Sus scrofa: one gene and its partners. The protein of the gene in region 1 purifies or fractionates together with the protein of each later gene. This does not show direct contact. Links are inferred from orthologs where the notes say so. Each region holds a gene or a part of one and is shown in the gene's direction. Other genes may lie near its edges.

Evidence for each region.
Region 2: the proteins of ATXN2L (region 1) and G3BP1 purify together in Homo sapiens (affinity purification with mass spectrometry; 4 studies listed by BioGRID and IntAct, with this or other methods). This does not show direct contact. The link is inferred for Sus scrofa from reciprocal best matches to the Homo sapiens genes ATXN2L and G3BP1.
Region 3: the proteins of ATXN2L (region 1) and G3BP2 purify together in Homo sapiens (affinity purification with mass spectrometry; 4 studies listed by BioGRID and IntAct, counting the BioPlex papers as one, with this or other methods). This does not show direct contact. The link is inferred for Sus scrofa from reciprocal best matches to the Homo sapiens genes ATXN2L and G3BP2.
Region 4: the proteins of ATXN2L (region 1) and LSM12 purify together in Homo sapiens (affinity purification with mass spectrometry; 4 studies listed by BioGRID and IntAct, with this or other methods). This does not show direct contact. The link is inferred for Sus scrofa from reciprocal best matches to the Homo sapiens genes ATXN2L and LSM12.

Annotation. Positions count from the first base shown.
Region 1 is NC_010445.4:18,503,174-18,511,051, forward strand, and holds the start of ATXN2L (ataxin-2-like protein), read left to right. Parts: upstream 1-2,918; 5' UTR 2,919-3,451; coding exon 3,452-3,753; intron 3,754-4,380; exon of another isoform or gene 4,381-5,093; intron 5,094-5,247; coding exon 5,248-5,284; intron 5,285-5,499; coding exon 5,500-5,556; intron 5,557-5,636; coding exon 5,637-5,708; intron 5,709-6,500; coding exon 6,501-6,651; intron 6,652-6,994; coding exon 6,995-7,119; intron 7,120-7,878. UniProt on the Homo sapiens protein: Involved in the regulation of stress granule and P-body formation.
Region 2 is NC_010458.4:71,271,933-71,279,805, reverse strand, and holds the start of G3BP1 (ras GTPase-activating protein-binding protein 1), read left to right. Parts: upstream 1-3,721; 5' UTR 3,722-3,739; coding exon of another isoform or gene 3,740-4,201; exon of another isoform or gene 4,202-4,346; intron 4,347-7,873. Other genes in the region: uncharacterized protein LOC100514500, read right to left, coding at 3,740-4,201. UniProt on the Homo sapiens protein: Protein involved in various processes, such as stress granule formation and innate immunity. Plays an essential role in stress granule formation.
Region 3 is NC_010450.4:71,274,193-71,281,534, reverse strand, and holds part of G3BP2 (ras GTPase-activating protein-binding protein 2), read left to right. Parts: intron 1-2,862; coding exon 2,863-2,965; intron 2,966-4,205; coding exon 4,206-4,334; intron 4,335-4,907; coding exon 4,908-5,026; intron 5,027-5,374; coding exon 5,375-5,647; 3' UTR 5,648-7,342.
Region 4 is NC_010454.4:19,124,802-19,132,803, forward strand, and holds the start of LSM12 (protein LSM12 homolog), read left to right. Parts: upstream 1-3,828; 5' UTR 3,829-3,916; coding exon 3,917-4,040; intron 4,041-6,088; coding exon 6,089-6,222; intron 6,223-8,002. Other genes in the region: G6PC3 (glucose-6-phosphatase 3), read right to left, coding at 969-1,186. UniProt on the Homo sapiens protein: Nicotinic acid adenine dinucleotide phosphate (NAADP) binding protein. Confers NAADP sensitivity to the two pore channel complex (TPCs) by acting as TPC accessory protein necessary for NAADP-evoked Ca(2+) release.

The DNA of each region.
Region 1 (7,878 bases):
GCCATAAGTAAGGCCATTAAAAAATAAATTAAAGGCCATTAATAAATAAATTAACCCCAAAACCAAGGACCCTTCATTTTCCCCTGCCCCTCACAGGTGACCATTTTTATGAGTTTTCGCTTTATCCTTCTTGTGTTTTTCTTTGCAAGAATTTACAGATACATTTCTGTTTTCCTATTCCCCCTTCGTCCTTGCACAAAAGGTAACACAGTTTATACTCTTGAACTTGCTTTCTTCATTTAACAATATATCTGGAAATCACTCCTTAGCAAATCAAAGTAATGTAATTTCTAAGTTGCATATAATAAGACAACATTTCATTCATTTATTAATTTATTGAGCGACTGTGTGCCAGCCACTGAGCTATACAAGAAGGTTAGGGAAATGAGTAAAATATAGTCCCTGACTTTATTGACCTCAGGCTCCAAGGGAAAGGGAAGCCATACAAAAAACAAACAAATAAAAAAAAAAACAGAAAACATGGAGTTCCTGACGTGGCTCAGCAGTAACAAACCCAACTAGTATCCATGAGGACACAGGTTTGATCCCTAGCTTTGATCAGTGGGTTAAGGAGCCAGAATTGCTGTGAGCTGTGGTGTAATTTGCAGATGTGACTTGAATTCTGAGTTGCTGTGGCTATGGTATAGGCCAGCAGCTGCAGCTCTGATTCAACCCCTAGCCTGGGAACCTCCATGTGCCATGGGTGTGGCCCTAAAAAGACTTAAAAAGAAAAAAAAAAAAAAAAAAACCCAGAAATAAACTATCACAGTGCTCTGGGAGCCCGAAGTAGGAAGTCAATAACAAGAAGTTCCAAAGGCCTGACACCTGAGCTTGAACAATGAGGATTAAGTGAAGAAATAGCACGTATAAAGGCAGAGTTGAATAAAGTCAAGGTATGTTGTATAAATGAGAGTTTAACGAGGCTGAAACTTAGCAGAGTTTGGGAGCAGGATGAGGTGGGCGAGACAGAAGTGCCCATAATGAGGCCAGCTGGAGAGGTGGCATAGCATCAGGTGGTATAGGTCATGTCAGGAAAAAACTGGACTGTGTTATTTAGTTAAGTCTTTTTAGGGTCGCACCCACAGCATATGGAGGTTCCCAGGCTAGGGGTCCAATTGGAGCTTAGCCTCTGGCCTACACCACAGCCACAGCAACGCCAGATCCCAGCTATATCTGTGACCTACACCACAGCTTATGGCAATGCGGATCCTTAACCCACTGAGCGAGGCCAGGGATCAAACCTTTGTCCTCATGGATGCTAGCCAGATTCGTTTCTGCTGAGCCAAGACAGGAACTCCTGGACTGTGTTATTTAGACATCCAGGAGACATAGTCCTGGATCCATTCACCTCACAGGTATTTAATTGACTGCCTGCATGGTGCTAGGTCTTGCAGAAGGAGCTGTGAATAAGAGCAAGATTCCAATTGTTAGGAGCTGACACCAGCAGGAAGACAGAATGAAAACCACTCATAGAATGAAGCTGGGAAAATTGCTGGGCAAACACACAGGAAGGGAACCTAACACTCTCAAAGCTAGGAGTCAGGCGGGATGAAGGAACACTACCCAAGAGCAAGGCAGACTTTGAGTGAAGTGTGTGCCTGTTTAGGGGAGAAATGAAAGCTGCAAGAGTCCCAATGCTGATGTCTGGAGTGAAGAGAGAGAAAGACACTGGAAGTTTATCTGGGATTGAAACCACAGACTCATCACTCCTCCACTCTATTTTCCACACTGCAAAGGGTAATCTTTTAAAAATTGAACCGGTTCTATCCCCGGCCCAGTACAGTGGATTAAGGATATGGCGTTGCCTCAGCTGTGGCGTAGGCTGCAGCTGTGGCTAGGATTTGATCCCATATGCTGCAGGTGTGGCCGTTAAAAAAAAAATAAAGTTCATTAAAAAAATGTAAATCTGGGAGTTCTTGTGATTCAACAGGTTAAAAATCCAACTAGTGGGAGTTCCCATCTTGGCTCAGCAGTTAACAAACCCGACTAGTATCCATGAGGATGCTGGTTCAATCCCCGGCCTCACTCAGTGGGTTAGAGAACTTGGCATTGCTGCAAGCAGTGTTGTAGCTCACAGATGTGGCTCTGGCCTGGTGTTGCTGTGGCCACTGCTTTGAGGATTATGCTCATGTCTCCTTAATATCTGGTCCCACGTTACTTAATTTTCCAGTTTCCTTTTTCAACCTCCTCCCTCTTTAATTTCATACTCCAGACATGCTGAAGTTTTCCTAACTTGTCACATCCTATGCCCCCTGCCTAGAAACCCATCACCCAGTGCTGAATTAGATGTCATTCCTATCTACTCTTAGTGCCCCGTGCTTCACCTAAGAGATCTAATTGTCTGAATCTACCACTAGTTTAAACTCCTTGACAAGGGCAGGAAGTAATTTCATTACAGTTATATCGAAAACACCTAGCCTAATGTCCTAATGACCAACTAATTTGAATGAATGAAGGCTACCTTCCTTGTCGAGTGGGGTGGAGGATTTTGAACTAGACTCTAGGAACTTTGGCCTTCAGACAGTCTCTTTGCTGCTAGTTTAAGAGTCCCGTTCCAGGGCGTGGAGAAATTACTATATTGAAAACCATATAATATAATTTAGAATTAGGCAGATATTTATCTCCAAACTGCTATCTTTAACGCCTATCAGGCTTTTATGTAAATCAGATAAGCTCCGAGAGTAGCTCCCCACGAAACTACCACCAGCTTCAGCGAAGTCCCGGGTCTACTCTCGGGATTTTTTTTTTTTTGCACTCAAGACTCCGCCCACAGGCCCCCGAATGGCGGAAGAACTGCACGCTACGTCGTGACTTCTCACAAGACTGCGGAGGCATCCCGACGCTACGCCGGCGGCGTAGGCGGGGCGGCCGGCTCTTCCTTCCTCTCTGCTGCTTCGGCTCCTCCCCCAGCGCTTCACACGCTCATTGTGAAGCGACAGCGGCCGGCAGTCTTCTGGGCTGCTTGAGATCTAGAGACCCTAAATCCTTGGCGCGCGTGAGCGCCCGCGCTGCTCCTCTCCCACTCCAAAGGCTAGAGGCGCGAGATTCACCTTTCTTTATTCCCTCCTCTGTCGCCCGGAGCTAACCGCCCCGGTGCGCTCGGACATCTCGCGCCGACGCTCCCTCCTCCCCGCCCCTCCCCCTTCGGGAGCTCCCGCCCGGGCGCTCCTCCCCCTCCCTTTTCCCCGGCGACGCGCACGCGCGCCAAGCCGGCTCGCGCCCTCTCGCTTTCCTCCGGCCCGCGAGACCCCCTCCCCTTCCGCCTCGCGGCGCTTCCTCGCGCCGCGGTCTTCTCTATCCACCCCCGACACCGCGGGGCTCGCCCCCGCCCGCCAACGGCGGGTCCCCAGCTTCCCAGTCCACCTCGCTTCCCGCGCTCTCCGGCGGGGCCCCAGCCCCGGCCTCCTCTCTCCCTCCCTTCCCCCTAATTCCCTTTCCGGACGCTGCCATCATGTTGAAGCCTCAGCCGCCACAACAGACCTCCCAGCCCCAGCAGCCGCCCCCCACGCAACAGGCCGTGGCCCGACGGCCTCCTGGGGGCACCAGCCCTCCCAACGGCGGCCTCCCGGGGCCCCTGGCCTCCACCTCGGCTCCCCCAGGGCCTCCCGCGGCCGCTTCCCCCTGCCTAGGGCCTGCAGCCGCTGCCGGGAGCGGACTCCGCCGGGGAACCGAGGGCATCTTGGCGCCACAGCCGCCGCCGCCGCAGCAGCAACATCAGGAGAGGCCAGGGGCAGCGGCCATCGGCAGCGCCAGGTGAGAACGTGTGGGTTTCCGGGCGCCGGAGCCAAGGTGGCCGAGACCTGTACACCGCGCGAGGCAGACCTCTAGCCTCTGGCCACCTTTGAGGGACGCCAGGGGGAGTGGGGAAATCCCGTGGAGCTGGGGGTGGGCCCTTCAGGTTCTAACAGGTCGGAGGAAAGCCTCCGCGGCTAGCCACCGGGACATTGAGGGTGCGCGCTCAGCTCTGAGCGACCAGTCACTGCTCGGGGCTTGGGCCTTAAGGGCAGGCAGGGCGCATCCCGCCAGCGGCGTCGGAACGAGTTGGGGGGGTGAAGAGGTGATAGGGGTCCCCGGCTCCATTACCACGAAGGGTCTCGCGGTCCGGAGCTTCAGCCAATGGGGAGTCAGCTGCGGGAAGGGGTCCCTGGCCGTAGCCAATGGAGGGGGGCGCGCGGCCCACAGTTTGGCCAATGGGGAGGGAGGGACTTGGGAGCGAGTTGCTACCTCCCCCTTCCCAGTCCGGCCAGTAGGAATGGAGCAGAGTGGGCGGGGGGGACGGAAGGAGGGACAAAACTGGGAGGACTGCGGGCCGGGAACCTCCAGCGCGCGCGCGCGCGCTTCCCGTACGTGCGCGCGGATGCTCAGTCTTATGACCCGGCCATTCTCGAGCCCCGGGTAACATAGAGGGCAGCTGCCGGGAGTGTGCTTGGACGGGTTCGCCGGGTGTTCTTGGATGAGTGGTGGACACCCCACTGTGTTTCTTCTGTTTGTGGGTTTATAGAATTGAGAGTGGAGGTACACGCAGGCGCAGTGGGTTGTGATCGCGGGAGGGGGGATTTTGAAGAGGCCCTAGGGCTTTAGTGCGCAGGCGCAGACCGGGCGAGGCCTCCCGGTGGAGAGCTTTTGCGGCTGCGCTGTCCCCCAGCCCCGCCAACGGCCCCCTGATCGTCCTCTTCAACCGACGGTTACATCAGCCAGCGAGGAGCAGGGTTACCAGGCGATTGGTGACCCCTTCCAGAGTGGGTAATAGGCTGAATGAGTAAAGAGATCGAGAGGGTGGATTGTAGAGGGAGTACCCCTCCTGCCAGGGTTTAGGGCGCAAGGCTACGGGAAATGATGGTCTTTTCTGTTGGGGAGGTAATAAATGCATGCCTGATCTAGGTACTCACTCTGTGAGCTTCTATCTTTACATCTGGGGTGGGCTGTTAGTTATCAAATATTATAGCATTTGTCTGTTGGAAGCATGCAGCCCTGGCCCTCTTGGAGAAAGTGAAAAGGTTGTGTTGAATTGGCTTTTGACAACCCTTGATGACTGAGGTCTGTTTTGCTGGCAATTGGAGGAAATGGCTTTTAATGTCCTTCTTGCTCTGAAGGTGAGATCTTGAAAGTAGTGTTGATTAATTGGTTTGTAGCCTAAGTGATTATCTTTACATGATATATGGTTCTAACATACCAGGTCCTTTGAAATCAATGGTACAAAAAGGATTGAGCATGAAATAACTAGCTCCTTGTTTCCTTTTCTTATAGAGGACAAAGCACAGGAAAGGGACCCCCACAGTCACCGGTGAGTGCCTTCTCCCCCTCACCCAAGGCACAGAGACCTAAAAGATGCACGGATGGGGATGTAGGGCAGATAAGGTGCAACAATAGTCAGATTGGTTGGGAATAGCAGGGGGCCCAGCACATATAAGGTGGATATTAGTGGACTGTGGGCATTTAGAAGGAAGGTGAGATGTTGACTGGCTGTTCCTTTATTTGTCTCTCCTTTGTTACTGACAGGTGTTTGAGGGTGTCTACAACAATTCCAGAATGCTGCATTTCCTTACAGCTGTTGTGGTAAGTGGGTACCTAAACTCTTAGGAATGTAATGCATCCGTTTGCTGGAGGCACTCGTCCTTATTTTCCCGCTCTTTCAGGGCTCTACTTGTGATGTAAAGGTGAAGAATGGTACCACCTATGAAGGTATCTTCAAGACACTGAGCTCAAAGGTCAGTGTACTCAAACTGGCTTATTTTTGGAGAGCACGCCAATGCTAACCACTAGACCACCTGGGAGTGTTGAGTTAGTTTCTTTTTAGAGTTGGCATGGGAGGAAGTGGAGGAGAGTGAAATAGGCTCATTGAAGATGTAAAATGAGTGGGGTTGGCCAACTTTGTGCCTGTTGCAGAATAGTGCTACATGGAATTAAAAGGCATGGGTTCAAGGAGTTCCCGGGTGGCCTAACAGTTAAGGATCTGGCATTGTCACTGCAGTGGCAAGAGTTCGATCCTTGGCCCAGGAACTTCCAGATGCTGCAGGCATGGCCAAAAAAAAAGGGTTTGAAATTTGGGGGTGGTGTCTTTTTAGGGTCACACCTGCAGCACTTGGAAGTTCCCAGGCCAGGTGTCATATCTGAGCTATAGCTGTTGGCCACAGCAATGCCAGATCGGAGCCTCATCTTCCACCTACACCACAACTCACAGCAACGCCGGATCCTTAACCCACTGAGGGAGGCCAGGGACAAACCCCTGTCCTCATGGGTATTGGTTGGGTTCATTACCACTGAGCCACAGTGGGAACTCTGAGGGCTGGTATTCTTGGATATTAAAATGCTCAAATTTTTAAAATGTGACTTTGTAAAGATTTTTGCTGAATAAGTTCCATGGCTGATGTCGAGAAGACAGTTCCTGTGAGAAGGTGTGTGGGGGAAAGTTTAAAAAGGATAAGATAAAAGTAGTCCTATTTTTGCCTTTACATTTCTTGATACTGACTCATGTGTGTTGGTGAATGGAACTTTTATAGTTTGAACTGGCAGTAGACGCTGTGCACCGGAAAGCATCTGAGCCAGCAGGTGGCCCTCGTCGGGAAGACATTGTGGACACCATGGTGTTTAAGCCAAGTGATGTCATGCTTGTCCACTTCCGAAATGTCGACTTCAATTATGCTACTAAAGGTATTTATTGGACCAGACTGTTAGGTCAGATCCATTTCTTGGGTAAAGAGCAGAGAACAGTTACACGGTGAATCTTCTCCCTGTTCCTCTGTATCCCCTTCCTTTATTTCTCAGGAAGATGGCTAGGGTTTCTTCTCGAGGGTGTGTCTTGACGTTTTAAGATACAGTGGAGTGAATTCCAGCCTGTGTTGTGGTTCTTTGTACTTCCCTTGCCTTGTTTGCAGACCACCTCCCAGACTCTTGACACATACAAACTTTTTGCTCGGATGGGGAGGTGTGGGGGGTGTTGGAGGAAAGGCTATGAAATATCACCTGACTCTTGATCTTCAATCTGCTCCAACAGACAAGTTCACTGATTCAGCCATTGCCATGAATTCCAAGGTGAATGGGGAGCACAAAGAGAAGGTGCTTCAGCGCTGGGAGGGGGGCGACAGCAACAGCGATGACTACGACCTCGAGTCTGACATGGTACAGTCTTCTTCCCCCAGAGCCTGAGAGCTGGGACGCTCTGCTGCCAGAATGTGGGTGGTTGTCAGTGACATTATCCTTAGAACCCACAGTGAATGGGGTGGGCCAGGGGAAGCATCCTTTACTTTTCCCTATGGATTCCAGTTGGATTCCAATGGAAAGGGACAGAAGACAGCAAAAATACCTGTTCTTCCACCATCTGTGACCGTCAACTATTAACATGTGCTTTAGGTCGATTTTTTTCTAGTCTTAATAAGGGCAGGTATGGATGAGATTGAGTACTGTGTAGGCCCATCTCCCTCCCACAAAACAAGGGCCTTGAGTCCTTTAAAATTCGTCATTAGAAGTTTCACTACATTACCATATCTAAATTTTCTTTCTTGCTTGTTTTGAATTTTTCGTGTTGGTACATGGGTGTAGTCATTGCTTTTACCTATTGTGTATTGTTCTATTGTATAAACATGTACATATAGTTTTATATGTGCACAGAACAAACGGTAGTAATCTCTTTCCTTAGTGAATGGTATTTTTTTGCCACTCAGGTACGAGAAATGATACCTTGTTGAACTTTTTGAACGTGTATCCCCATGCACATAGGCCAGAATTACTCTGGGAGAGAAACCTGAGAGTGGATGTTATGTCTTAAGACCTTTTTCTTTCCTGGCCTCTTGCTGATTTGCAGTCAGTAGTCCTTCCTCGTCGATGTTCCCACCTGCCATGTTTCCATGTTTCCCCTCTGGATTTGGTCAGATGTTTAAC
Region 2 (7,873 bases), on another chromosome or scaffold:
GCCCACTGAGTGAGGCCAGAGATCCAACCCGAAACCTCATGGTTCCCAGTCAGATTCGTTTCCACTGTGTCACAACAGGAACTCTGGGAATCTCTAAATTTTAACATAGAAATCAGTTTTGTTTTTTTCCTTTTTAAATAAATGGGAATTCACTGTATGTTTTGTTCAACTTGATATTTCTTCAGTTAACAATCCAATTAAAAATGGGAGACTGGGAGTTCTTGGTAACCACCTGGCTCAGTGGTAACAAACCCGAACAGTATCCATGACTTGGGTTCAATCCACGGCCATGCTCAGTGGGTTAAAGATCTGGCGTTGCTACATGCTGTGGTGTAAGTTGCAGACTGGACTCGGATCCCACGTTGCTGTGGCTGTGGTGTAGGCTGACAGCTGCAGCTCCAATTTGACCCCTACCTAGGAACTTCCATATGTCATGGGTGTGGTCCTAAAGAGACCCCCCCAAAAAAACCCCGCGAACAATCAAATAAACAAAAAAACTGGAGACCAGCTTCATAGCTATATAGTTCACTTTTTCGCCCCCTATGGCCACACCTGTGGCATATGGATGTTCCCAGGCTAGGGGTCAAATCGAAACTGCAGCTGAGGCCTATACCACAGCCATAGCAATGGCGCATCGGAGCTGCATCTGTGACTCGTGGGTGGCAATGCCTTATCCTTAACCTGCATCCTCATGGGCACTATGTCAGGTTCTTAACCCACAAAGCCACAACAGGAACTCCATTTTTTTTTTGGCTTTTCTAGGGCTGCACTTGCAGCATATGGAGGTTCCCATGCTAGGGGTCTAACCGGAGCTGTAGCCTCTGGTCTACGCCAGAGCCACAGCAACTCGGGATCTTCGACCTACACCACAGCTCATGGCAACACTGGATCCTTAACCCACTGATCGAGGCCAGGGATCAAACCCGCAACCTCATGGTTCCTAGTCGGATTCATTAACCACTGAGTCACAACGGGACTCTGGAACTCCTCTCTTTTATATTTTTATTTATTTTTTATTCCTTGGCCACACCTGCAGCATTTGGAAGTTTCCAGGCCAGGGCTGGAAACCTACACCACAGTAGCTATCCAAGACACTGCAGGCAATGCTGGACCTTTAACCTGCTGTGCCAGGAGAGAACTCCTATCTTGCTCTCCTTCAAAATGCTACATAATATTCTATATTGTCGGCATGTCACTGATTAATCTGTTTGCAAACTGATAAGCAACTACATTTTCAGTTTCTAAATATCCTAACAAAGCTGACAGTGCGTATAATGAACACTCTAGAAATGTGTCTATTTTGCAAGAAGGGTGGTATAGACAATTTTATCTTTTTTTTTTTAGGGCTGCACCTGTGGCATATGGAGGTTCCCAGGATAGGGGTCAAATTGAGGCTGTAGCTGTGGCCTACACCACAGCCATGGCAACACCAGATCCAAGCCTCGTCTGCGACCTACATAACTCAAGGTACCACTAGATTCTTTACTCACTGATTGAGGCCAAGGATTGAACCTGCGTCCTCATGAATGCTAGTCAGATTCATTTCCGATGAGCCATGACTCGAACGCCCACATACACAATTTTAACAGATTGCCAAAGAGCCTTACAAAAACAGCTATATCATTTAAAATTCCCTCCAAATGTGATTAAGAATAGCCCAATCACAGGCTGCCTGGGTTAAATAACCTCATCTGTGAATTCCAAGATTCACAGCCAGTCTGCTCTGATTAGCAGTTCAGTTTGTAAAGTTGTCTTGAAAACTGCGAATGTCAGAGTTCCTGTTGTGGTGCAGCAGAAACGAATCCAACTAGTATCTCTAAGGATGTGGGTTCGATCCCTGGCCTTGCTCAGTGAGGAGCCTGCATTGCCATGAGCTGTGGTGCAGGTCGCAGACATGGCTCGGATCTGGTGTTGCTGCGGCTGTGCTGTAGGTCAGCAGCTATAGCTCTGATTTGACCCCTAGCCTGGGAACTTCCATATGCTGGGGGGGGGGGCCTAAAAAAAAAAAAAAAACCTGCAAATGTCCTCGTCCACCTTTTAAGAAATCTTTCACGGGCTCCTCATCTCCCTCCGAGTAAAGTCCAAATTCCTTAGTAAGGCTAACGAGATCCTGGAGGTTCCTTAAATCAGAAAACCTGTGGCGGATCCTCTCCTCTGAGCCGAGATCCCTTCCTTGCCCCCAAAGTCCCATATGCCCCTTCCCCAGTTTCCCCGAGCTCGCGGAGGAGCTTCCAGGCCCTGGTTTGTTCAATGGGTGGCAGCAAGCAGGGTCAGCAGCATCTTGATCATCCCTGACCCCAGCCCCTGGAGTTCATTAAGTGCTGAATGAGAGAGGCTGATGCAGGAGTGGGGCTTGGGGGGCGGGGGGCAGAGGGACGCTCCCATTTAGCTTCTGGGGCTGCACCCCGACCCCACCAGGCTGCCTCCCCTGTCCTTTCGCCCCCAGCAGAGGCTCCACGTGCATTATTTCCAAATTTACAAAATTTTGAGACCCTCCCCAGGACCACGTGCCTGCAAAGGAGACTCAAACGAGGCGTGTCTCTGTATTTCCATGTGAAATGCTCAGGGTGACCAATAGAGGGCCTAACAAAAGGCTAGAAGACGTGGACAGGACCGGGCTGGAGCGTCACTTAGCCTCTGGTGTTTTAGGGACGCTTTGGGGTGTCCATAGGAGTTTGACAAACTACCTTTTCAAGATGTAACGACTACAAGAAATAAGGCCCCACACCTAGGGCAACTGGAAATGGGAATGACAATGGTGGTGACGCACAGGATGTTACAGGAAGGGCCAAGCTGCCGGGAGAATGAACAAACTCTTGTTCCTCGGTCAACACCCACTAGCCGACCTGCAGCAGCACTTGCCCAGAAGGGCAGAGTAGAAACGAGTGTCCTCAAAGTCAACAGTTTTCACGTGCGACCTTTTTACAAGCCCTTAGGTACACAACGGGAGTTACCTTCTCCTCTGGCTTTCCTTGAACGGTTGTCCAGTAATAGTGCTGACTAATGCTGAGAACCAGCAAGTGCCCTTAGGCGGCCGCGTGGAAATAAAAAAGTTGGCATAAGAGGAAAAAAATAAAATAAAGCAACGGGAAACTTCACCATCTGGTTCGGCTGGTACCAAATTGTGCGGGAAAAGCGGGAGAAGGGGGCCTCAGGGACCGCACCCAACAAGTGAAGAAAGGAAAGGGAAAAGGACAGAAGCCGGGGCCAAGAAAGCCTCAGAACCTCCCCAGAAGGCAAGGCGGCCCCCGGGGCTCAGCCTCCTCGGTACCGTTCAACCCCGGCGTCAATCACCTCTTTTCCGCGCTGCGATTGGGCCGGGGCCCCCCAGCCACCCTGGCGCCCACCTCCTAGTTGCTTGGGGTTTACTTCCCCAAAGTACAAGGGCCCCACCTTGTGGATCAACCGCTCCTGCATGGAAAACGGATCTCCGCCCAGGGGAAGACGTTTTAACGAATGGGAACGGCTGCACGCACTTATTGGCTACCGTGGATATCGGTCAAAGAAGTTCCCAGCCCCTTCCCCACCGTACCTTTCCGTTATTGGTCTCTCTCAGTGCCAATCCGTCACTAGGGAAACGAGATCCTTACAGGCTCATAGGCAAAAGTCAAAGCCAATCAAGAGCCACGCCTTCATCCTGAGTCAGTACCCAATTGCTGCGCGAAGAGCTCAGAGGACGCCGTCGGGATTGGCCACTAGCCTGCCCGACTTGGCCGCAACAAGTTAGTCTGAGTCTCGGTTATATAGCCCGGCGACGGAGCACGCGTGTGTGCGGACGCAGTTGCGTGAAGGGTATTTGCCTTTTGCCTTGCGGTGGAGCAGAGCTTGTTCCTCTCCCGTTCAGCCGTGCAGGTACGGCAGGGTGTGGGCGGGGCTGGACCGGTAGGAGGGCGAGCTGGGGCAGAGGTGAGAGGGAGACGTCCGAACGGCGACTGTGCGAGCTCCCCCTCCCCACCTCCGCCCCAACGGCCGCAGGCGCGCGCGGCAGGCGCACGGGCGCGCAGGAGCTCTCCGCCCCCCGCCCCCACCGGCCGGCGCGCGTGGCCGTGTCCGCGTTCGCGGCGTGCGCGTGCCGCGCCCAACGGCCACGCGGGGCGAGAGCGAGCCGCAGCCGCCGCCCGAGCCCCAGAGTGCTCTCGAGGGCCTGGGGCCCCGCGCGGCGAGCTCGCCAGCTTTTCCCGCCCGCACCCCCACGCGCCATCCGAGTCCTTTCCTGGCTGTAGCTCCAGCTTAATCCCAGACCAGAGAAGGCTTTTATGGGGGGGGGGGGGCACGAAAGTGCGATGAGAATTTCTGGACTCGGGAAGCAGAAGTGCTGCCCCCCAAGCTTTTACAGCGAGTGAAGGGTAAGCAGCGACTTCGTGGATGTCGAATGATGATAGTACTAACTACTCATCTTCTAAGCCCTCCCTCTGTGCCAGGCACAGTCGTGCGCACCTTGTGTGTTTCCCCTTTAGTCCCGCAATGTCCCGATGAGGTAGGTACCATGATTTTCTAATGTTTACAGCGGATTCGAAGGCCCAGCGGTGGAGTGACACGGTCGAACACAGATCGTTAGGGACAGGAATTTGAACGCAGGCCACCTGACTCCTCGTCCCCCAAGTCTATTGTAGTCTTTGTTGCAGCGCCGTGTGCGGCTCCAGGGCACCTTTGCCCCCAGAGCACTAGTCCCTGGGGACAGTACCAGCCTCGGAAGGTCGACTGCAGCGGCATTTGTAGTTGGGCCAGTTGTGGGCTTCCAGGGAGACAAGGGTTGGGCGTGGGTCTGTGACCAAGGAAGAGAAAGGGTTTGGGCCTCCTTGCGACAGGTTTTCCTACAGGTGGCTGACGGACGTGCTGCCTTAAAAGCTTCTGGGGAAACGACAGAATAAAATGACTAAGTGCAACTGAACCTGGACAGTGTGCTGTCAGATTTGAAACGTAGTAGGCTGACGATGGGAAATTCCCACCAGCAGGAAGTTAGGCCTTGATATCTTGAATCTTTGCTTCATTTTTTAATTGGGGCAGACTTTCGAGAAAGACCTTGGAGAAGATTGTTTGACTTCCTCGTTTTATAGTCGAGGAAAATGAGGTTGCACTTTGAGGCGTTTCAGATCTAGCCAGCATGTGTAAGTTAAAATTTGAAATTGGAATGGAAACCTTGGTGCCCAGTTAGAGTATACATTTGACCTCTGTGGAGCCTAAGCTCGGTGCGTTAGGGGTGATAGCTCTTGGAATTGGAAATCTTACCCTTAAGGCGGTTGGGATCTTCTGTGGATGAAAGTCTGTCTATTTAGCATTGTTGCATGTGCTCCTGTTACATGCAAATGTAGAAGGTACCTTCAAAGACTTGTGTTTAAGTATTTCTAGTAGAGTTATATTTCTTTAGGCTAGTGTATTAAGGTAAAAGTAATAAATGTTCCTGTGTTGCAGGTTCGAATCATTACTTTGCATCACAAATGGCTACTTGAGCTAAAGCTGCAATAAAACTGGGGGGGCTAGCTTTTCTGAATACTTTTTATTGGGGTGGCTTTCAATTTTTTTTCTCTTTATTGTAAAGAAATTTATTCTGTGTGTGCAGACACTTTTTAGGATTAGTTTTTAAGATTTTTTTTTTGCAGCCAGAGGAAACATAATTTTTAGATCCTTGTAGGAAATTAAAAAGCTAAGAGGAAGCTTATTATTTTTAAGTATTTCCATTTAACAAGTAATTTCCATATTTCTTAAAAGAAAGTAACAGTAGGATAAAGGACCAAAATATTATAAAGACAAGTTCTTTGTTGGGGTTGTCATGAATAACAGGTAGCTTTAGATTATAACATTGTTTTCCTTGGAGCTTGCCTTCCTGTAGCAATTCCAGTTACCTGCATTTAGACACCAGTTAACTATTGAATTAGCATTTTAAGTTACTAAATGTTATAACATTGTGATGACATACATTGAACTGTTAGGTTTGAGTTCAGCTAGTTATTTCTGGAGGCAAAATATGTCAGAAAGTTCTTTATGCATTAATTGAGGGAAATTTTTGATAGTTTCCCATTCAGATGTTTAAAAAAATACTGTTTTTGACTTTGGGCAAATGGTTATCAGTTGGGCAGGAATATGAAAACTGGTAATTCACAGATGGATAGGCCAGTTGACCTCTTGTGCATTCATTTGTCAGGAACGAATGAATTGAAGCAGATTGTGATTAATATAAAATTTGTCTACCTTCCTGCCTCCCAGCCAAGCTAGAGGTTTTATTGCTAAATCCTTTGAATTTGAGCTTTTGTACCTCTTCTGACTGGTAGAAAAGTAGGCAATTCTTTGTTCTTTATTTAACTCACTCTGCTTTGCTGTTCTCAGCTGACAGTGTGCTAAGGGAACATCAGGAGATTTGGTAATGTTTGTTGGTGACCTACTTTGCAGTTTTTTTTGTGATTTTATTGGTTTTAGCACTTTGCATAGAAGTAAAAGGCAGAGGTTAGTTTTACGTTTTTATAGGTTCATGAATCGAATATGGTTCTTAGGATGGATGGAATAGTGTTAAAAGATGAAATTTGGTATAAAGCCTGAATGTGTGACCTAAACCAATTTTTCTTTTTGTTGGTTTAATAAAATTACCCGCTTGATAATTCAACATTTTGCAGTGGAATTTGTTTTTTTAAAATATTTTGGAATTCAAGAATGTATATTCATTTAATTGTGCTTTAAGCCCGCCTTGTGCAGAATTAACTGACTTTACAAAGGGAGCTGATGGTTAAAGTAGGTAGATAAGGAAACACCCCCCTCACTCCCCCAGTCAGTTTTTAATAGCTAGTGGGAAGAGCCTTTAGTGTAGTACTTGTCCTTCCAGTCACGGAGATAAATTTAGGCCCAGCAACTGTGATCTCATTTACAGTTGGTGATGACACTGTGGTGGTTGACTAGATTTATATTAAGTTAAAAACTCAGCTTTCTGTTTGTTTTTTCTCGTATTCCTGGACACCCTGTCTGGCCTTGGTCGGGAAAGCTGACTTGCAATCAGGACGATAGAGTGAAGCCGTAGAAATGATGTGCACAGGAAAAGTGGGAGAGTAGGGGCTTTACAAAGCCGAAAGCAGTCAGAGGCTCTCTTGTGGGCTCAGGCCTTTGCAAATAAAATCAGGTCTTTAGATTACTTTAGGTGATAGATTTCCACTTCCCTCTGGCCAGTCCGTTCTGTCATATTGCTTGACTGTTCTGTATTTCAGGTATTTAATATAACGTAAATATGAGAGATGGTTCAGAGAGAAAAGCTGGCTTTCTGGATGGGACACACTTCAGCTTAGTATCTGGGATGTCTTCCTTGGTGGCTGCTTAATTAACATTTTGTGTTTGTATATAGCCTTTTATGAATTTTTATTTTATTTTTATTTTTAGGGCCGCAGCTGTGGCATATGGAAGTTCCCCGGCTAGGGGTAGAATTGGAGCTACAGCTGCTGGGCTATACCACAGCTACAGCAGCGCAGGATCCAAGCTGCGTCTGTGACCTACACCACAGCTCATGGCAATGATGGATCCTTTAACCCACTGAGTAAGGCCAGGGATTGAACCCGTGTCCTCATGGGTACTAGTCGGGCTCGTTACCACTGAGGCCTGACAGGAACTCCTGCCTTTTATGTGTGTTTTTAAAGTGCTTTTACACATCTTAGGTATTTTAATCTTTTATTTATAAGAACCGAAGCTCTAAAACTCAAATACTTGTCTAAACTATTGGGTAAAATGCATGATGTACCTAGTGGAGAACTTAGGTATGTACTGAATATTTCCCTACTCAAAAACCTTGAAGGTTTCAGAATCTTGGAAGGCATGAGTTATACTTACCGTCCCTTTTGGGTTTTCTTAGACACTGCCCCAACTATTACCTTCCATGTTGGTGGACTGTCTTGAGCTT
Region 3 (7,342 bases), on another chromosome or scaffold:
TTAGAATGGATTCATGATTTTTCCACTTGATTTAATAAACCCTTCAAAATTTTGCTGCTTTGGTGTAGTATCCATTTCCTTAACATGAAATAGATTAATAAACATGTATAGATTAATAGAATAATTAAATCTAATTCTAAGATATTGGTAGGCATTAATTTAGAAGTAGGTAAGTTAATTTGGTAAATTTCTTTTTTTTTTTTTTTTTTTTTTCTTTTCTTGCTTTTTAGAGCCATACTTGTGGCATATGGAGGTTCCCAGGCCAGGGGTCTAATCAGAGCTTCAGCTGCCGCCCTACACGACAGCTCACAGCAACGCCAGATCCTTAACCCACTGAGTGAGGCCAGGGATTGAACCCGCAACCTCTTGGTTCCTAGTTGGATTTGTTTCCGCTGTGCCATGACGGGAACTCCTAACGTGGTAAATTTCTTAAAAATTAATTAGTTCATTTAAGTAGCTTGTATTCAGTTGAAGTATATATTATGTTTTTATTTGCTTTTGTTGACTTGATTTGTTGGTTTCATTTTTACTTCGTATTCTGTTTGATCTTCATTTGTGGGACTTGTCATGTGAGCACATGTTCTGATTTTGTGGAATTAATTTTAGGCCCTAAAGTAGTATGTGATATCTTAGTTATTTTACCTTAATGGAACAAATAATTTTCATGATATTGAGCCTAAAAAATTCTAAGTGCACAGCTGGCTTAGTTGGTGTTTTTTTAATTTTAAATCCTTAAAAGATGATGAAGTACTTTCTGTAGTTATTTTTGTTTCAATAATCTGTTTTTAAAAGAATTTGAATCAGTCAGGCAGAGTTCTTTTTCCTGAATTGAATGAGTTGAGATTTTCCTGAGATTTTTATGAAAGATGTACATTTGCTATTTTTTATTAATTTCTGAAACATAGTATCTTTGTCACACTTTGTTAGAGACCATATATTCTTTAATTCTGTTTTACATTCATACTGAAGTAAGTTGTGCTTTTAGGCCCTTTCTCCCATTCCCCCGCCTTAGTTGAAATTTCTAAATAACTGACCTTTTTTAGGCATCACATTTTTGGTCAAATTACTATGTAATGTTAAATTCCAGATACAGAGAGCAACAGTCTCAGTGCTGTAATTTAGGCTCTATGTCAAGCGTAGAACATTCTCCTCCTACATGTTATGGATTAGAGACCTAAAAGTGGAATTTGATTTTAAATGAACCAATAGTTATTGAACATCCATGTTTAATGGCACTGTGCTTGGTTCTTTACTTGGTGTAGCAACAGATTAAGATATTGTCCTTAAGGAATAAATACATATAATTAATTTTAAAACTTGGGGAGTTCCCGTTGTGGCTCAGCGGTTTAACGAATCTAACTAGTATCCATGACACAGGTTTGTTCCCTGGCCTCAGGGTTAAGAATTCAGCATTTCCATGAGCAGACACGGCTCAGATCCTGGATGGCCATGGTGTAGGCCAGCGGCTACAGCTCTGATTTGACCCCTAGCCTGGGAACCTCCATATGCTGTGGGTGCAGCCCTAAAAAGACCAAAAAAATAAAATAAAGCTTGGGAGAGTTAAACACTAAAAATTTTTTTCTTAAACTAGCAAAATTCTGCATGGGAAGGAACTTCCATTTTGAGGGAAATGGGGAAATCTACATGGAAGAAAAAACAGGATTTTTACAGACAGGCAAATCTGTTGTACTGCTTAGGATGGAAGATAATATATCTTGGTTTACAGTGGGTGAAATTATTTATAATAAATTATTTTTGAAAGAAACATAGTTCTTTGTTCTTGTAAATTATAATATCCCAGTTATATAAGTGATGAAAGAATTTTAGCTACTGCCTGGACTGAGGAACTCAGATTCTATCAGCCATAAAGACAGACTGAAATTGCTAGCTTAAGGACACATTCTTCATATTCCTCCTGGGTGTTTTGAGCATCCTTTGAAGGTGCATATATTTTGTCTCTTCCTGGACCATAAGTATTTGGGCAGTAGACAGCCCGAAGAGGTTGGAAATACTGAAAATGCCAGTGTATTAATAAGGAAAAGGTAATAGTAGATGCAAATGTCATTTTGTTTTTAGCATAGTTACCTTATATGTTGCTTAATTTAGCAGTTAGCAGAAACCTTTGGAGAGTACCTTAAAATGATCTCTTATTTCTCTTGCCACCCCTACGAAGCAGTTAAGAAACGTTGGGTCAGTCCTTAAATAAATGCACACTTCTCCTGTAAAGAAGAGTAGGACTTCTTTGACTGTTTGAGATGCTATGTACCCATTCCTGTCATGTTTTTTACGTGCATTTTAACTTCAAGGTAGTATTTTTAGGCACCAGAATATGCTAAATTGTATATTCTGAAGTATCAAAATAGTGATTTTTTAAAGTAATTATTTATCGGGTGGGGTTTAGAAGATACTGCTGAGCAGTATTTAAGAGCAGCAAACTAGATAATGAGAACATATGTGTCATATATTGTTTTTTGAAGATAAAATGGCTTCTTTTTAACATGTATAAAAATACATGTATATGTATGTGGAGTGGCTTATCTTGCATTTTTGTGATTTTTGTAGCAATACTTTTTATGCTGTCTCAATGTGAGTGTAACTTTTTGGAAAAAAATATAGTTGTAAAAAGCAGTTTATTATGAGTTACATAGTCTTCAGTGGGAAAACAAAACTTACCCTACAGTCCTAGATTGGTACAGAATATCTTTATGAAAATTTGTTTCACATATGTAGAGCACTACGTTAAAAATACCCAAAACTAAAATTACCATTATGCCTGCTAGTGACTTGTTGGTTGTTGCTTTAGTTGGTTTTTCTCCTGTGGAATGTGTTTCTTTAAAATATGTTTTTTCCCTTTTATTTTAGCCGAGAGTGGAAACTAAACCAGAAGTTCAGTCTCAGCCACCTCGTGTGCGAGAACAACGACCTAGAGAAAGACCTGGTTTCCCTCCTAGGGGACCAAGACCAGGTGAGTCAGCCCCTCTGTAGCCTTCAGCACTTAGCACTTGGAAGCTGGAGAAGACGGAACTTTAAAAAGTTTTTAAAAAAAAAACAAAAACAAAACAATGTGTCTTATGTGCAAATCCTTCTAGTACCAAATTGCCTAAAGGCTTAAGTAACTTGCTAAATATAGTCTGGGCAAAACAACTAACTTTTAGGGGTGAATTAGCTGACCTCCCTTGGAGACTCATACTTCGCAGGTATAAAAGAATTTTGAGACACATTTTATTTGGTTATTGTCACTGGTTCCAAGAATTCAAAACCGTGCTGCCAATAACCTATTCTCTTACTTAGCACTTTTCTCTTCACAGATAAACAATAAGCACACCCTGATTCTTCTTATTTTGATTGTCTTAGGTATTAAGTAAGTTGCCGTGATTTTTGACTTGTTTCCATTGTTAGCTGATATGTCTAGAACCTCTCTTTGGATTCTATAAGTATGTTTAGATTGCTTTTGGGAGGAGGTGGGAGATAGTATACATCAAATTTAGAATATATAATTTTTTTCCCACAAAAGTAAAATAAGCGGTGTTATTAAAACCAGAAGTCATGAGAGCTGGAGTTTGTCCTAGCTTTGTCACTGATTGAGTTTATGATACTGGGTAAGACCCTTAAATACTGAGCTTCTCTCATACCATTCAGTTAATACACAGATTTTTCCTTGTGATGCCTTTTTTTATATGCTTCACTATGGTTCTTGTGTTTCTGGGAGAACGAAATTAGATTTTGTGTGTATACGAGCACCCTAATGTGTATGAAAGGCCCTATCAATGAGATATTACTACTATTAAATTTAATGAGTTTGCTGTAATTTCACACAACCAAAGATTAATTTGTGGATTTTAAAATAATAAATATTTAGTACAAATGTACCTCACACTATCTGAGTTCCTGGGTGATGGCAAAAGTTTGGCTAAAGAGGAATGCTTGTACTGCTAATATTTGACTTCCATATAATCAGACCAGTAAATCTAGAAGAAGGGACTTTAGCAATCTAGTCAATACCCTCACTTCACTTTAATGTCATGTTTTCTAACTAACCTACTAATACTAGACACCTCCACCTCCGTTCAAGAAGCTCACTATCTTGTTTAACTAAAACAGGAAACCAAGTTGTTTTTTTATTTTTTTTTTTTATCATTCATTGCTTTGAACTAGTTTTTATATGATATTGTAAACTTTAATATCGGCTCCATATCTTTTCTCAGGCAGAGGAGATATCGAACAGAATGAGTCTGACAACCGTAGAATAATTCGATACCCAGATAGTCATCAACTCTTTGTTGGTAACTTGCCACATGACATTGATGAAAATGAACTGAAAGAGTTCTTCATGAGTAAGTGGTTTAGTTTGCTTTATTGTAATATTAAGCAGGAGAGAGAGCTTGTTTTCAAAATGTAATTAGGATTAAAAAACAAAAACAAAAAAAAACCATTTACCTCTCTATATACTGTGTTTGTCTCTAGGTACCAGTCACCTTTCATTGAGCAGAAGGGAGTAGTAGAAGGTTATGTAAGATGTTTCCCAGTGACTATACTTAGTGTTAACTGACCTGGTTCTGTAGAGGTTAGAAGAGAGAGTGGGATGAATCAGTCTTCAATTTGGAAGTGGAATTTATTTGGTGAATACAAGTCAGAAATAGAAAATGACATTGTATGTCTAATATGTAGGTAACTTTTCTTTTGAAGGGACTAATAAAGATGCAGAAGAGTAACAAAACAGCCTAGTTGTTGGCGTCTTTGGTGAATGACCTATAAGAGTAACTACCTCAACTGTCACTGGGTTGTAGCAGCTTGCAGCTTTATGTTGAAATGGATTAAGTAGATTAAGGTATTTCATCTTGAATAATTAAAGTCTCAACGTATTCTGTTAAAATATTTAACCCTTGGTGTAATGTATATTTTCACAGGTTTTGGAAACGTTGTAGAACTTCGCATCAATACCAAAGGTGTTGGGGGAAAGCTTCCAAATTTTGGTTTTGTGGTTTTTGATGACTCTGAACCAGTTCAGAGAATCTTAATTGCAAAAGTAAGTAACTTTAAGGGCATAATTCAAGACTTTATTATTCCTATTGTATTTAGTATTAATTTGATACATTTTAAAACCAGAGAAAGTCTGGTTAAAGCTAAAATGGTTTTCCCATGGAATGGTATTTATGCAAAGCACAAAGATTTGTTAGTAGTTTTAAAGTCTGAGGTATGGATTATTTCAAGTTTCATTATTTGCTCTGGTAAAGCTTTGAATAGATTACATATTAAGAATTTCATCAAAGATTTTTTTGTCTCTTAGGATTTTCTTCCTTATGTTTGGGTTTGATAATACATTACTATTAATATCTCACCTGCCCATGTAAATTTTTTTTCTTCCTTTTTAAAGCCAATTATGTTTCGAGGGGAAGTACGTTTAAATGTGGAAGAGAAAAAGACAAGAGCTGCCAGAGAGCGAGAAACCCGAGGTGGTGGCGATGATCGCAGGGATATTAGGCGCAATGATCGCGGTCCTGGAGGTCCCCGTGGAGTAGTGGGCGGTGGAATGATGAGGGACCGGGATGGAAGAGGACCCCCTCCAAGAGGTGGCATGGCACAGAAACTTGGCTCTGGAAGAGGAACCGGGCAGATGGAAGGCCGCTTCACAGGACAGCGTCGCTGAAGCTCCACTGTTGGCAAAGTCTTGGCAGTGGTACATTATTCATCGTGTTTGCATTCTTGTTAATTTTTTTTGGCTTTGGAATGTGACACAGCCTTTTTGATCATTTCTTTGATGTGAAAAGCATCTTTGGTTATCAGTTAAATTGAGGTGGACATTATTTCCCCAATTTTACAGCAGGATTCGCATTGTTAATTTATAAATCTAGACTTGGAGAATTAAGGACTGAGAAATGACCATATCTTAAACTGTCTACAACAAAATGAACTTAAGAGGACACGCCCAACTGAATTCAGGTCCTTTGAGTCAAAAAAAACCCCCTCTGCTGCACATTTTGTTTAAGTGTTACTGTTTCTACCTGTTAATGTTGGAAACACAAATAGTGCAATTTGTGCAATTGGAGAATCTTGCCTTTTTTCTTGGCTCCCCCCAAAAATACAAACCAACAGAAACTTGTTATGCACTCATCAAAATGCACTAATGGGTACTCTGAACTCATTAACATTGACATCTGCAACAGGAGGCAACAGGGGAAAAAAATCTTTCATCTTTTTTTCCAGTAGAGCGTAGTTTGTGAAATGATGAGGGCATTTTATCTGCTTGCTGTGACCAGCGTGTGTACACATAAACCTTAACAAGACTACAAGTATATTCCAGAAGGAAATCATTTAGTTATGAACTAAACAAAAATCAGAACTTCAAATGCTATGGTCTTGAATATTAGACCAGATTTAGTAGCTCCATATCTCAGATTTTTCTACCTGCCCCTCTTCAGTACAGGGATGGCTGGCTGCTCAACACACTCCTCCCCCTTTTCCTTTCTTTAAGCTGTGTACAGTGAAAATTTGTCTTTACTGTATTTTTGTTCTCTGGTAATGTAAAAAGCATGATGGTGCCTTCTATTAATACATCATTCCAGTCTTGCTGGTAATTTTGTACAGTATAGTGTATGAATTGCTGTGCTGCAAAGCCAAACAGCTGCAAAATGTCGAAAAATCATTGATGTGTATAAAAATTGCAGTATCTTTAAAATCAGTAAAATCGACTAGCATAATTATTTACCTTGTTCTTCAGTTAACAACTTTGTGTTCTCTGTGGGAGGGAGTCTTGTGTGTTTAGAGTTGGGGGAGAGAGAAGGAGGAGGAAGTCAGTTATTTGAGTAAATCTCTTGTTGACTTTTCTCTTGGCCTGAATGTCAACATTGAAGTGTATCACTTGAAAGGTGTTTGGAAAAGTCAGATCGACTTCTTGTACATTTTTTAGCGACATTTAAAAAGCAGTCAGATTCCATAAATGGCAAGTAAACCCGAAGTGAGGATACTGCAATTTTCAGTGAAAGGAACAGCAGCTCTTAAGTGTTTGCATTTTCTATTTGGGGGGCAGGGAACGGTCATTCATTTTGCACAATTCTTGAACTGATGTCAGCACCCGAGTGGCTCTGAATTTTAAGTCTGGGACAGCATCTTTTATTTTTACATGAATCTCTAAACAATTCTGTGGGCAAAGTTTGTAGCTACTGGATTATTGTCTGTCTTTAGAGCAAGTTCCAGTAAACCGCAAGTATGACAAAGGATATCCAGTTTATGCTTGGAGCATTCGGTACCTATCAGTTTCTGATGTTTCAGGCTAGGAGTGGGGTAAATAAGTGTGACCACTTAAAGCTGCTGTTAGCATGGAAGACTTCTCCATTCTATCTTA
Region 4 (8,002 bases), on another chromosome or scaffold:
CTCCTATGAACCTCCCTTCCCTCCCCCAGGCTGGCAATCTGGCAAGAGGCTAAGGTGAGGGGAGGTCCAGCTGCTGCACGCTCAGAAGAGGTACAGCTCCCTTCTGCACCTGAGAGAGAAAAGGTGGCACAGAGAGATAGCCCGGAAGGGCTCCACCCACTTGCCTGGGATTCCTGGCTTCTAAGTCTGTATGAAGAGCCCACTCGTGAATGAAGGGGAAAAGGAAGAGGAGAAAGTGGTCCCTGAAAGGCAATGCTTTAGCCCAGTCCTTTTGACAATTTACTGTGCACGTGAATCACCGGGGTCTTTGTTAAAAACACAGATTCTGATTCAGTAGCCCTGGTCTGAGGCCTGAGATTCTTCATTTTGAGCAAGTTTTTAAATGCTTTAAGTGCTGCTGGCCATTGTCCGGGGACCACACCTTAATTTGCAAGTCTTCCCCGTCCTTAGCAGCTAGTGCGAAAGCCTAGCATGAACGATGCTTCTTAAAAACTGAAAAACTTCTTGAAAAACTCGGTCAAATACACGAATGAATAAATAAGTTGTGATAAACAGTGAGTTGAGAAGCAGGACTTCCTGCTACTCAAGTCATCATAGATGCTTGTTAAAATACAGATTCCCAGCCCCTCCCCTAGAGTTTCAAAATCAGTCCATCAGAGGTGGAATGGGGTATTTGCATTTTAAACACGACCCCCTCGGTGATTTCTCTGATCAGGCCCGTTAAACCCTAGTCTAATGATTAGGAGGGGGATTCTGAGGTCTGAGTCCAAGACGCACAAAGATGCTCCAAGGGGAAAAGTCAGTGGCCACGGGCTAGGGGGTGGGCAGATCTTTACGGGGTCATGGGTTCACTGTTGGGAGGGTGCCAGGCCTTTGAGGCACCTGCTGAGAGAGAGATCAGGAACTGCACAGGACTTAAGGCCCTTGGGGGTGGGGGACCAGGACGCCGGAGGGCTTCGCTGTCTCACCACTTGAAGACGAGGTTGAGCCACTCGGTGATGAGGCTGATCCAGAGTACCGCGATGCCCACCCGGCGAGAGGCGTAGTAGGCCGCAGGGAAGTAGAACAGAAAGAGGCTTTTGGGGTCGCCCAGAAAGGTGACCCAGAGCCACACGTTCTCCAACCAGGGCAGCTGGTTCTGCAGCGCCTCGGCCATCGCGATGCCCGCGCCCAGTGTGGACTCCATGACCACCCAGTGGCCGGCCCGGCCAGGGTTTGATCTAGGGCGGAAGCGGAGGAGTCCAGGAGACAAGGAAACTGCTACTCACTGCGCTCCAAAGCCCACCCTTCGGAGTCGAGGCCACGCCCCCGGCAGCTGCCAGCGAAACCCCGCCCCTGCCCCGCCCCCGGCAGCCCCGGCTTGCCCCAGCCCGGCCTCCTGCCGGTACCGTTTCCTTCTGCGCTCTTCCCGGGCCTTCCTTTCTACTGGGCAGCGCAGGGGACAAATCTTTGCGAAGGCGTTTCCGCAGATCCCCACGTGGCTGCTGTTGCCGGCACGTGGGCATCAGCGTAAGAGGCCACTGCCGCTGCTGTTCCGGGTCAAGGGACAGACTAACCTGAGGGTCGGTGACGCGCCCAGGGTCCTTCCTTTGCTGCTGTGAGGATGGATATGTAATTTTTAGGGCCAGGATCCTTCCAGACCAAACCTTTCTCCTCCGCTACCGCTACCCTCCAAAGATATTTGGAGATCTTCTGGAGATCGAGCTAGGCATCTCCGGTGGGCGCTGAAGTGGGAGGCTGAGTTGGCACACACTGCTGGCTAATCGGTTCAAGCCTCCACTGCTTGAATTCAAACGCTGTTGATTTAGAGGCTGACAGATAAGCCTCTTGATCTTGAGAAGTTGTCCCTAAAGGCTTACACATAGCAGTCTAAGTCACACTTCCTCCCAGTTCTAAGCTTGCCTTGCTCCTCTCCTTTTGTCATTTTGCTTTCCAAAACCCCGCTGGGCAGATAAACCATGAGATAGTAGCTAGCTTGGTAAGGGAAGAGGAGGGGCACACACCCACGACAAAAATTGGAATAATCCTCTGAAGGAGCACACACAGAAAATAGAAATCTCAGCTATTCCAGGCGAGGTCTTGCCTAAAGGCAGAGGTGAGGTGGGAGGAGACTGCTGAAGTGGTTCCTTCCTACCTCAAGCAACTTTGTTCTTGGAGAGTGTTTTGTTTTGTTTTTTAAGGGTGAAGATGAAAATGTAAATCCGGGTTTTTCTTGGAAAGATTAATTTCACTAATTAAAACGGTGTGGGGAAGGGAAGCTAGATAAAAAAAATCTCATTTCACTCCTTTGCTAAATGTTTTTCAATTGCCCCAAAGGAAAAAAAAATTCAATTTCCTAAGTCTTTGAAAGTTTGCTTGGGCTCTAGCCACACAAATTTTACCAGCCCAGTCTCACACTGTTTCCTGATATTTCTGAGCTGCCTGATATCACCAAGCTCTCTTCTCTCAGGGGTCCTGGCATCTGCAGTTCCCTCTGCCTGGAACATGGCCACGCTCTTTCGCCGCTTATCCTTCAGGTCTCAGATTTTTTACTTCTTCCAGGAATCTTTTTCTAACAGTGCCTGGCAACCATTTATGAAAATCAACAATGACAACATTGCATAAAAAGTGGAGTGGCAGTTATTTATGACTTATGGGGGAGACATGAAGATTCTCTGAAAAACGCAAGGATGAGGGATTTGAATGTTTATTTCTATTAAAATGATTATACTAATATTGACCCAACATTAGGAAGTTGATGGCTCTTGCAAGGCAAGGAAAAATTTTTGAACTTTGTTCAGGTTAAGAAGTGTCAGGTCTGGCCCTTTGTGTCCCTCCCTCTGCCTGTTGTTATTTAGACGTGAGGCTCCAGAATTTCTATAGTGGAGGGGTAGATGGGTTAGGGATGGTAATTTGCAATAGTAGGGCTTGAAAATGCATCTGCATGGTACTTACACGTTAGGAAAATTGTTTTTGATCTTAGATAGTCATTAATAGGGAGCCCCAAACTCCTGCTCCATGGCTACAGTTGTCCCTACCACTGCTCCTCACTCTTTGCTTGGTTTTCTGGAGGAGGGGACAAGACCGGAGATGGGGAAGAATTTTGAGTTCCAAGGGTGAGGGGTGATGGCAGAGATACTACCATTTACTAAGGACCTACTACATGCCATGCATTTGTACTCGTTATTTTTTTTATCTTCCACTCCTCCCAAAGTCTCTATGAGGTATTGTCTAATATAGCATAGCAGTAAATAGCACTCTCTTTGGAAACAGGTAGATGGAATCTTTGCTAGTTGTGCGACCTTGGAAAAAGTTTAGCCTAAGACTTAGTTTCTTCATCTATAAAATGAGAATATTGACTTCTACATCGAAGGGTTGTTGGGTGCTCAATAGCGACAATACATACGGAGTAAAGAAACAGGATCAGGTTTAATAATTTGCTCAAGGTCATATAACTCAGTGGAATACTGATTCCAGTTTAGCCAATTCGACAGCCAAAGTCCTTTCCACTACCACTTTATAACTAGGTATAATCGTTTTGAGCAAGTTTTGATGAGTTTTCTGGGACTTCGATTCCTCATATGTAAAATACAGAGTTCATTCATTAAACTCTTGCGTCTAGGCGTGAACGTAATGAAGATTGCAGTTCCCTCCTCCTTCCTTTTTTTATTCTACATAGGTCATTTATCTTTAACTTCTAAAATGGACCCTGCAAACACTTCACCAAGTGGGCGCAGCTGCACAAACATAATTATTTAGATTCCTCTTTATTTCCTCGTCTACCCTCTTCCACCTAGGATCCCGCCCCACCCAACCCAGGCCACGCCCTGGCGTGTGACGTCAGCACGCCTCGTGCGTCGCGGCGCGGCGCTCACTGGGGGCCCGGCTTTCGCCCGCTGCTGCCGCCGCTGCCGCCGGCCGCGGCTGCTCTCCCAAGATGGCGGCTCCTCCGGGCGAGTACTTCAGCGTTGGGAGCCAGGTGTCGTGCCGGACGTGCCAGGAGCAGCGGCTGCAGGGCGAGGTGGTAGCCTTCGACTACCAGTCCAAAATGCTGGCTTTAAGTATCCTTCCCTGCGCGGAGCCCAAGGCCGGGCCGGCGTGTATGTGCGGTGGTGGTGGGGGGGCGGGGGACGACAGCGGTGGCTGGGGCCTCTCCGGGCCTAGGGGCGACCGGCTACCGCGGCGCTCGGAGCGCATGCGCGCGGCCCTGAGCTCCCCTCCCCCTCTCGCGGGTCCCTCGGTCCGCGGTGGGGACCCTGTCCCCCACGCGTTGTGGGAGCTGGGCCCCGTACGAGGGTGGGTGGGTGGAGGGGGCTTGACACGCGGGTGGCTTTTCGGGACGAACGCTAGGAGAGAGGACACAGTGATTAGAAGAGGGGTGGTCGTGGGAGGGGGCTGGGGAATGGAGCCCGGATGGAGGCGGGGAGGGTAAAATCCTGTGGGGACGGGGTGTGCAGAGTAAGGAACTGCTAGTGGGACAAGGGTATGGAGTTTAGGTGGTTTGTCTGCTGATGGGATTTCGTCCAAGAAAGGGCGGTGGGGTAGTGACCAAATGGGTCTCTCCTTTTTGGGGGGAGAGTAAGTGCAGGATAGGAGTTTGTATCTGAACTGGGGATGGGGCTTGTTTTCCTGGTGCTTGTGTGTGTGCTTGTGGTGCCAGTGGGGGCGGGGAGTGCTGAATTTTGGGCTTCTCAGTCATATGGAAATTGCTATTTTGGGGATGTTTGTGTTGGAAACCTGGTGCAGAGAGAGGACCACGTTTTTCGGGGGCTTATGTATCGATGTATGGGTTACAGGTGAAAGAGTAAGTTATATTCTCTTGCTCAGCCCAGCGCATGGAATCCTGATTTTCCATAGTAGTAGCCTTCCCTTTGGAAAGTGGCAGTGTTAGAATGGAAAAAGTAGCCTCTTCGGGGTGGAAATGATTTCTGAATTACTCCAGGAAAGTCATTCTTGGAAACAAAATACTTCCTGGTTGTAATAAATGTGCCACCCCTTCCCCTCTTATTTGAGCCACAGGTGGGTTTATTTGGCTTTTTTTTTTCTTGGAGTAATTTTTTAATGGCACCTTTCAAAAGGAAGTTTCTTTCTGAGTCAGTTGCTTTTGAGTGGCAAGTGTTTTAATTTATTTAACCACTAGTCCTAGATTTCTAGCTTAGGAAGATGTCCTTTGAAACTAATTACAGCAAGAATAGTTTTGTTTTTGTTTTTGCTTTTTTTTAGGGCTGTACCCAACAGCATATGAAAGTTCTCAGCCTAGGGGTCTAATTGGAGCTACAGCAGCTGGCCTTCTTCACAGCCACAGCAACGTGGGATCCAAGTGGTGTCTGCGACCTACACCACAGTTCATGGCATTGCCAGACCCCTGACGCACTGAGCGAGACCAGTGATCAAACCCATATCCTCATGGATACTAGTTGGATTGTTTCTTCTGCACCACAATGGGAACTACTTTGTTGTGTTTTTTAAATACAAGAATACATACCTGGATTAAAGACCATTTACATTACTGGTTTAATTGGAGGGGTTTTGGAATGAGAAATTACTCAGCTTTTAATTGATATACAGTATGCTCTTAAATGGTCAGAGAATGAGTGAGTGAGTGAATGAATGGATGGGTTAACTAGCTGGGTCACCTTGAGTGAGCTTCCTTTCCAGTGCTGTAGTTTTTTCCTGCAAAATGGGAAATCTCAAATCTGAAAAAGTGAAAAGAGCACTGTTCAGATATAGGAAGGATACCAAGAACAGAAAGTACTTGCTCTCCTGTGTGGTTCATTAGGTTCAAGGCAAACAGTATACTTACAGCATTAAAACTACGTCAAGCCTCTGCATAAAACCAGCAGAGAGAAGGTGACAGAAACCCTGTTGAGGCTTCCAATTTTGGATTGTGTTTTCCTTTGAAAAGCTTGAGATCCCTTGGTCGTGGGGTTGATCGGGAGGAAGGTGACAGGCAGAGATTTCCTGAGGAGAGCTGATTCTCCTGAGGCCACCCTCTTGCTTGTGGCATACCTTTTACACAAGTCATGTGTGAATTGTGTTTTCCATGTCCCTTTGGAATGTGTTAGTGCTCTGCTTCCCCCAATTTTCCTTAACTTTATTTTCTCACCAGAATGTCCCTCTTCCAGTGGAAAGCCCAACCACGCAGACATCTTGCTCATAAACTTACAGTATGTTTCAGAAGTGGAAATAATTAATGACCGAACAGAAACCCCTCCTCCCCTAGCTTCACTCAATGTTAGTAAGGTAAGGACTTGAGGGCAGTTCTGGCTCTCCAAAATGATGGGAAATTTGAGTCTCATTGAGTCTTGGTGGCACATACATTGTCCATTGTTTTTTCATTTTTTTCACTAATTTACAATTGCTTGTATTTTCGGAAAAATATAGCAGTTTAGTTTTTCTGTTTATTCCTGGATATCTTCAGATTTTAAGAAATGTCTTAATGCCCAAATGGGGAAATAGAGTTGAGAGCTGGCTTTTGTCCTTTGGGAGAGGGCTTGTTTTTACTTCTTAACCTGGAGTCCATATGCATGAACTTGATGTTGGTGGGGTGTTGCTTCTCAACCTCCTGAAATTGTGTGTTTGTGCACAAGTGAGTTTATGTGTTTCCTGGGTGAAGATCTGAAGTATTTTTCAGGTTCTCAGGAATTCATGACCTACAAAGATTTGAAAACCACTGCACTAGAGCTTCATTTTTGTTTTTATGTTTGAACTTTGAGGTCTAACAAAGTTAGAGGTTTAGGGAGTTCTCTTGTGTGGAAAGGATTAAGGATCCAGCATTGTCACTGCTGTGGCTTGGGTTCACTGCTGTGGTTCCCATCCCTGGTCTGGGAACATCCACGTGCTGCAGGCACTGCCAAAAAAAAAAAATTTAGAGGTTTAGGATATTCTAATCTTGGAAATCCAGATTGATTTTGGGGAGCCCTCAAATAACTTTTCTCATTCTTCATTTCTGTTAGCCAAGTATGGGGGAGTACTTGGAATCCTCTTTCAGAATAACTGGAGCTGTATCTATCAGGGACTCAGTTTAATGTCACCTCTTCCAAGAAGTCTTTTCTGATCAGCCAGGCTAAAGTGATTTGCCTCCATTATTCTCTCTTATAGTATCTTATCCTTGAAAGATAAGGTGACATGTTTATAGTCTAATCTGGGACATTTTTGAGAGTAAAGGGTGAGGGGTACTTTTGTTGTACACTGAGACAAGCATGTATTGGTGTGTCCTGGGAAAATTGGGACTTAAGGTTATCCTATTCATAGCCTTTTTGTAATCATAATTGTATATTATTTGTTTTCTTTTCTTTTTTTGGTCTCTTTGCCTTTTCTAGGGCCGCTCCCTTGGCATATGGAATTCCCAGGTTAGGGATCTAATTGGCGCTGTAGCCACCGGCCTACACCATAGCTCACAGCAAGACCAGGTCATTAACCTGCTGAACAAGGCCAGGGATTGAACCCGCAACCTCATGGTTCCCCAGTCGGATTCATTAACCACTGTGCGATGGGAGCTCCCATTTGTTTACTTTTCTATCTCACTAAACTTTGTTTTGTAGGGATGGGAATATTCTTACTTTGTTCATCACTGAATATACAGAGCCTTGCACAGAGTAGGTGCTTCATAAATATTTGTTGAATGACTGATTTAGACATTCATCTTTTGTAGCAGCTACCTTTTCTTAAGTATTTTAAATTTAGTGTGGTGGAAGTTTTTCCCTCTGTGGGTTTTGTAATAATGTATAATCTCTTGCTTCTCTTGGGAATTTGATATGTTTGCGACAATTCAGCAAATCGAGGAAACAGGCAGCTGGAAATACAGAGGGTGACTGAGGCTGGCAGTATGTAGTTACCTCAGATCTGGAGCACCCTATTTTCTAAATTCCAGGGAAACACCAGTGTTTTTCAGTGATGTTTGAAGATAGATTTAGAAGGGTCTTGGGGGAGTGCCCGTCGTGGCTCAGTGGAAATGAATCTGACTAGTATCCATGCAGACGAGAGTTCCATCCCTCCCCTTGCTCAGTGGGTTCAGGATCTG